2 linked regions of the Schizosaccharomyces pombe genome follow. Each later gene encodes a partner of the first gene's protein in a complex. Each region holds a gene or a part of one and is shown on either strand. Other genes may lie near its edges. The genes, in order: rrp43 and rrp40.

Region 1 (3,696 bases):
CTATTTCCGTAGTATTTGTTATCACTTAATCTCCACATTTTTTCTACATCGGACTTCAAGTTACAGTACCACGTGCCGCCCTTATTTTAAACGAACACACCATCAGCTTTGCATAGACTGTTAAATAGCTTATACAATTTAGTAAAACTGTGTAACTTAGATATATTGGAAAACAGTATCATAACAGTAAAGATTTAACCTCAGCAAATACTTGCCACTTCCAGTTTAAAGTGTAGGATGAACTTGTAAGCATGATAAAGTTGAAACAATATTCTTGTTGCGTAGAACCTTTTTCCTAGATCAACGCAAAAACAAAATAACTTAAAAAAAAAGAAAAGAAATTCGGATGCAGAAAAACTATATGTGCAAATACGGCGGGAGTTACACAAATAATTAAACATATACATCAGCCAAAAGATGTTTACTGGAACATTAATTGTTGAGACTTACGCAGATTGACCTGTTCACAGATGCGTGTTTTTTTTCAAAATACTCATACTTATTAAATTTCCCACCAATTTCTTAATCCTCAAATTCTATCGAGATTTCTGGGTTAGAGTGTGAAACTTTTTCAATATCAATACTAGGTTGTAACGACATCTCTTTGAATAATGATTGACAAGCTCTTGTACCATTGCCCAATGCAAGAACGTCTGCTTTTTGCGACGAGGAAAACGAACCGTTTGTGACTCGAGCAAGTCCGTAAAGAATCTTCCAATCCATAGGCTTTACACGTGATTGCATGCTTTTGCTTCCCTGTTCTTGTCGAAAAGTATCAACCGAATCAAAAAGGCGTTCCAATTTTATCTGTAACCTTTCAACCAAGTATCGGAGGCCATCCGGATTAGGCAGTTCCTCAGAAGAAGCCATTCTACCCAACTTGTGTAATTTTTTTGATGCTAAACGCACAGCCAAATATGCAGCCTCTTGGCGAAACCTCGAAGCCGAGGTTCCATCAAAAAATGATTCATCGGGGATGGAATGAATTGTAGGCCATACTGCACGTAGACGTGGTGGAATCCTTCGTTCATAACCGTCCAAATCGCTTTGCAATTCATTTCGACGAGTTATACCAGCTTTATAACTGCAATAAAGTTGAATACACAAATTTTTCATCTCAGATCTTCTCAGTTCGGAAACAATTTCTCGATACTCTATTAGCTGTGCGTATAGAGCATCTTGCTTTCGCATTTCTTTTTCATCCGAAGTATCCTGAGAAGAGGAAATATCCTCTTGACTTCCTTGCTGCTCTAATTCTTCCTCAGAATCATTCATAGCATCATTTCCTCAGAAGGTTTAGCATCCGGCTGTTGTGTTCGTAGGCTAGAGGTTAAGGAAAGGTCATTGTACCTGGCGCGATATTAAGTGTGTTTACTGACTTTTTTTTTTAATTTCCTTTAACTATAATCTAATAGAAAAAAACTTTTCCTTTTTTTTATTAATATAAGACTTTTGCTTCGTCTAACAACCGATAAACTAAGAGTGTGCAAATTTTGAAATATAAACATGCACCCAAATAACTTACTTTAATTTAAGAGCTATATATTATGCTACTTACCAAATTCCGTATGTATTCTGCTGACTTTTAATTGTTTAATTATGCCTTATTTTCTTTAACCATGGATCATTGTAAATTTTGTTATTTTACCTTTTTTTAAAAAAAAAAAAATCAGTAGAAAAGGCCTTAAATAAATTTTTTTCGAATTAGCATTTTTAAATGTTAATTATGTGATCTCTTTTTTCAAAATCGTTTAAACGAATTGGGATTTTGTAGCTAAAATTCAAATGAATTATCAATCCTTAATTGAAATTTGCACCGAATATACCTTCAATAAATTAAAAAAAAACCAAGGAATTTAAACATTTTAAGGACCTCACAAACCTTTTATTTACCATATAAGTTTTTCATACTTTACTTCGTACACCTATTTCATCCCTCTACTCCATTTCATAATTTCAACCTGTAGACAAAATTCAGCACATATATCGAATTCTTGTGATTCATATTCATTTTATATATTTTTCAGTATCGTTCTTCAGTTATTTGGTCTTTCTACGTTACTATATCATTTAGCTTCGTTATTGAAACACTACATTCTTTTCACATCATGAAAACTGTTTCGGGGGTAAAACAGCTTTCATTTACACCTTCGTAAGTTGCTCTTTGATTTCTTATTCTATCTTTTTTAGTGCTCTGTTTCCTTTTCACTTTGTTTTTCTTTGTTACAGTACTAACATTTTACTGGATAGAATTTTTAAGAAAATCACGCCTGAGCAGTATTTATCACATCTTCTTAATCAGGATGTTCGATCAGATGGGCGGTCTGTATCAGAATTCAGAGAAATTGTAATTAATGATAATTGCATATCTACTGCTAATGGTAGTGCTATCATTCGAGCTGGCGAAAATGTCTTTGTGTGTGGAATAAAAGCAGAAATTGCTGAACCTTTTGAAAACTCTCCCAATGAAGGTTGGATTGTTCCCAATCTTGAATTATCACCTCTTTGCAGTAGCAAATTTAAACCTGGCCCTCCTTCTGACTTGGCGCAAGTTGTCTCGCAGGAATTGCATCAGACTTTGCAACAGTATGTATCAAATTATTGGAATTTTTCTAATTTTCTACCATACGTTTCATTTATTGTTAAACTATCATTTAGAATATTTAGTTACTTTTACTAACAACTTATACAGATCTAACTTGATTAATTTACAGTCCCTATGCATTTTTGAAAAAAAAGCAGCCTGGGTATTGTATGCTGATATTATTTGTTTAAATTATGATGGAAGTGCCTTCGATTATGCATGGGCAGCTTTGTTTGCCGCTTTAAAAACTGTTAAATTACCAACTGCTGTTTGGGATGAAGATTTAGAGAGGGTTATCTGTGCTTCTACCCTTACAAGACCAGTTCAATTAAGTACTGAAGTTCGTTCTTTCTCATGGTCAGTATTTGACGACAAGTTGTTAGCCGACCCTACAGACGAGGAGGAGGACCTTTCAACTGAATTTTTGACAATTATGCTTAATAGCTCCAAAAATATTGTTAAGATAATAAAGCTTGGAGGCACTCACATTCAACCCCTTTTATTAAAAAAGTGTATTGAGGTTGCAAGGTCTAAGTTCTAACAAATTTTTGGGTTATCAAGGTGTATAAATTTTGAAAGTTTGAAAATATTCAAGTTCGTTTTTAATGCTTGAAACGTAATATTGATCTTGCTGTAATATAAAATACTATAGTCATAAAGCTAATTGATTTTCAAATGCTGTAGGAAATTTTTTTTATATAACTTATGAACCCTGTTTATCTCCTTTAACCAGTAAACTTTTTTTTGTCAAACTCTAAAACACAAGCATAGGAAGAATGATCAACTCAATACCCGATTTATTTACCAAAATCACGTTGAATCTTTTCTTTGCTGCCTTCACCAACATATCCTTTGGCGATGCCACTCTGTCCTTCGTATAATTTACTAGGACCTTCTCCTTCATCTACACTGTCAAGTCCCGACCAAGATTTTGACTGAAGAAACGCCGCTGCTGGAGAGTAAACCCCGTTCACTGCAAGACTTCTCATGCCACGCTTTTCTATAGAGGCTGAGGACGAGTCATTATTCTTTGCATCGGCAGTCTCAAGAGTAACGTCTAAATGTCGCATCGGGGTTGAATTCACAAACTTTCCAGTAATCAGACTAAAGTG
Region 2 (3,683 bases), on another chromosome or scaffold:
AAGAGATCTCTTTACTTTTGGAAGAATATCCTGATTTAAGGAAACAGATGGAATCTTTAGTACCTTCTGAAGTTTCTTATGATGATTTTTGGAAACGATTTTTTTGGCATAAAGAGGTTGTACAGCCGATAAAGGCAATTCAATCAGGAAACGATGAAGAAGAAATTTTTAGTTGGGGAGATGAAAGAAGTGATGAAGAAGAAAGTGACAATGAACAGGTTAATGATGAAAAAAAGCAATCAAGTGAAGAAGATACTACTGAGAATAATTCAGCAGCTGAAGTGATAGATGAAACCGTCAATGATTTGGAGTCAGCAGTTTCAAAAGGCTTACAAATTGAAACTCAACCCGCAAGCCATGATGGAGAGGTTGATGGAGAAGTTAAAGAAGAAGAGGAAAATAAAGTATCATCTTCCAGTAATATAGAAGCTTCTCAAAGTTCTCTTGAGGTGAAGGATGAAGCAAATAGAAAAGTTGATGACGATGATGAAGACGATGATGACTGGGAATAACGACTCTCGTCAAACTATTAAAAAGAGATATACTGTTTTTACTTCTCTTCTATTCATTTACTTGTTTTGGTGTGTTTTGTTCGTATAGCTAATTATTTGTCTGAAAACATTTTGTTTACGAACAACTCTTAGGTATATTATTAGCGGAATATAAAAAACATCTAATCTTGAGTATGCAGGTTGGAGTAGTAGGACTAGAGCATTAATCAACCTTCTTATAATATTATACATTTACATATACTTTTTGATTGTGAAACTTAAGGAAACCAGGATTTAAAAGTAAATCTGTATGGGTCGACGACATCAATAGATAATAAGTCCCTTAAATAATGAAGATTTTTAAGGAGAAAATGAATTCTGATATCACTTAGCTGCTTTTAGTCTTTTTTAAGTTTCTTCCAGTTGTTGTTTATTCACATCACATAGGCGAAGATCAACAACTCGACCATGAGCAGCACCATCTTCTTCACCAACGAGTGCGTATTGATCAACGATACATTCTAAGCTGCTAAATGGCTTAGTCAATACTTCGGTATTGTAAGCGTTTAGCACAACGTGAATGTAAATAACAAGAACAAATAACCAAGTAGGAATAGCTAGAGCCCACCAACGAGATAGATAATAATGAATCTCAAAAAATTTGAGAACAGGCGCAGGCGTCAGAGCCCAAACAATATACACGCCGAACCCCAACATTGACACCAAATACATCACGAACCCGTAATACTCATAAGTAGGAACTTTTACCATTATATCCCAATCTTGTTGATCAATTTCTGCAATGGCAGTTCCCTCTTCATCAGGCGTTGTAGACCTCGTTCGAAACATCGTAGTCAAAGATGGCGACGGTGGAACCAACATCGGATGTCCGTAAAACGGAGGATCAAAAACAGTAGTTTGCCTTACATCTTCTATCTCTCCTTCAGCAGAACCCTCTATCCCTTTTATGAACGTGGAATGATGAGTAAGTGTCATCCAAACATGTGTTTACTATGTGCATTTGTTAGATGAGAGCGCGTACTGAGATGATACAAATACAACTACGTCTGCTTACGATGTGATTAAATTCGATATCCCTATTAACGACATACATACAGAAAATCCTCGTAAACAGCATTATAGCACAATGTACGTTTGCGTTATTTTTCACAGTCTGGGCTAATGTGATTTATAAAATTAACGAGATTTACAGTATTAGTTTAGACACACTTACCGTCCAAGACATTAATCCTCGAATTATAGTGTATAACTCGCGAAAAATCAAACCCCAAATAGCTAATTTTCTTCTGTTAACCAAATGGCTGAAGTTGAAGAAAAAGGTCTGTTATCTTATTACTTTCCTGGTGAGCGGATACCAGACTCCATAATTAGTCAGGATGGATCAATTCGTTTAGGTCCTGGTTTAGTCTTTCAAAAGAAAGACCGTGAAGAAGAAATAGTGGTCTCAAAAGCTGGGAGGTTGCATCAAACTGGAAAAAATGCTATGTTGATAGACTCACGGACAAAAAGATATATTCCTGCTACAAATGATCAAGTTATTGGGCAAATTATTTCTAGATTTGCGGAAGGTTATCGAGTAGATATTGGGTCAGCTCATATTGCTCAATTGAATGCATTGGCTTTTGAAAATGTGACTCGTAAAAGTAGGCCCAATTTAAATGTTGGAAGCCTTGTGTATGCTCGAGTATCACTCGCTGATCGTGATATGGAACCGGAGTTAGAATGTTTCGATGCTACCACAGGGAAAGCTGCAGGATATGGTGAACTTAAAAACGGTTATATGATAACAGGTTTATCTTTATCTCATTGTAGGAAGTTGATCCTTCCTAAAAATACACTTTTACAGACCCTAGGAAGCTACATTCCTTTCGAAATTGCTGTTGGAATGAATGGTCGCGTTTGGGTCAATTCTGAAAATCTTTCTACTACGGTCCTCATTTGTACAGCTATCAGAAATTGCGAATTCATGTCTGATGAAGAGCAAATAAAGTACTGTAAAGACCTTATTAAAAAGCTCTAACGAGATTCAGAAAAAAAAATTTGAATAATATGCACAGTCTATTTAACAATTCTTGTCCAATTGGGTTTAATTCAAAAATGGTTTGCCCTTATCTAGGAGGGACCATTTCTGAATAAAGTGTATTGTTTCTTCTTTAATGCCTGTGTCTAATATTCCCATACAATTTCTGTCGTTCTTTTATTTATTACAGCAGCGTGTTCATACAATATCTACACTCGTCCTTTCTCAACTGTTTTAATTAAAAAATTACTTATTATAATGCATGAATATACAAATACAGATGCAAAGATAAGTAAGCAATAATTAATGCATGCATAATGAAAATATAATTGTTATTCGTGCTCGTAAATAGTTTTTAAGATCATACCAATTCTACAATCCCAAAAAAATTTCGTATCCAATTATTTCGTAAATCCTTCGACAATTGCAACGACACCAAGAGCGCCGGCATCGGGAACTTTAACATCATCACCAACGTAGACAGCACGTCCAAGTTTGGCTTGCATATCTGCAGTAGCATCAGCACCTTTACGAGCCTCCTCTACGGCAGCATTAAGATCATTAGTTTTAACAAATGTTTCGACAAATGGAACAAGAGCATCACACATAGTGCTGTCACCAGGACGAGCGGGAGTATACTTGAAAAGAGTATCAAGAGCAACCTTCAAACCAGCAGCCCATGTCTTAGATGAAATGTCCTTGCTCTTCTCCAAGGTGTCTTTCATGCCCTTCGCAAAGCCATGGAAGAAAATGGCGTACAAAGCACCAGATGTACCATCCATATTGTCTTCAATAACATCTGCGATATCACGAACAATACGAATAGGATCGTCAGAGAATTTGTCGGATTTAACAAACTTCAAAACACCTTCAGCACCACGCTTCAAAGTAGTACCACAGTCACCATCACCAGCCATCGTATCGAACTTTGTAATTTTAGGCTCTGCTTTGATGAGATTCTCCATCGAATTGACAATCGCCTGACGAACCTTCTCCTTATCGACAGTAACGGGAGACTTGACATCCTTCTGACCCTCCTCGATGCTGACATTGCCAATCTTGTTTTTGGACTTCAAGTCAGAGGGTTGACACAAAGGCCATCCGATAGCTTCAACAGGTTGGTCAATCAAATCAACCAAAGAGTATTCTTC

The links.
Region 2: rrp43 (region 1) and rrp40 share a complex: the UniProt entries of both Schizosaccharomyces pombe proteins name them as parts of the RNA exosome complex.

What each region holds. Positions count from the first base shown.
Region 1 is NC_003423.3:3,331,182-3,334,877, reverse strand, and holds rrp43 (exosome subunit Rrp43), read left to right. Parts: upstream 1-1,932; 5' UTR 1,933-2,108; coding exon 2,109-2,152; exon of another isoform or gene 2,153-2,250; coding exon 2,251-2,586; intron 2,587-2,692; coding exon 2,693-3,125; 3' UTR 3,126-3,196; downstream 3,197-3,696. Other genes in the region: RNA polymerase I upstream activation factor complex subunit Acr1, read right to left, coding at 523-1,275; dph2 (diphthamide biosynthesis protein), read right to left, coding at 3,382-3,696. UniProt on the Schizosaccharomyces pombe protein: Non-catalytic component of the RNA exosome complex which has 3'->5' exoribonuclease activity and participates in a multitude of cellular RNA processing and degradation events.
Region 2 is NC_003424.3:1,178,058-1,181,740, reverse strand, and holds rrp40 (exosome subunit Rrp40), read left to right. Parts: upstream 1-1,800; 5' UTR 1,801-1,809; coding exon 1,810-2,532; 3' UTR 2,533-2,885; downstream 2,886-3,683. Other genes in the region: SPOM_SPAC22A12.14C (BSD domain-containing protein), read left to right, coding at 1-512; mug84 (pig-P phosphatidylinositol N-acetylglucosaminyltransferase subunit), read right to left, coding at 900-1,487; dihydroxyacetone kinase Dak1, read right to left, coding at 2,934-3,683. UniProt on the Schizosaccharomyces pombe protein: Non-catalytic component of the RNA exosome complex which has 3'->5' exoribonuclease activity and participates in a multitude of cellular RNA processing and degradation events.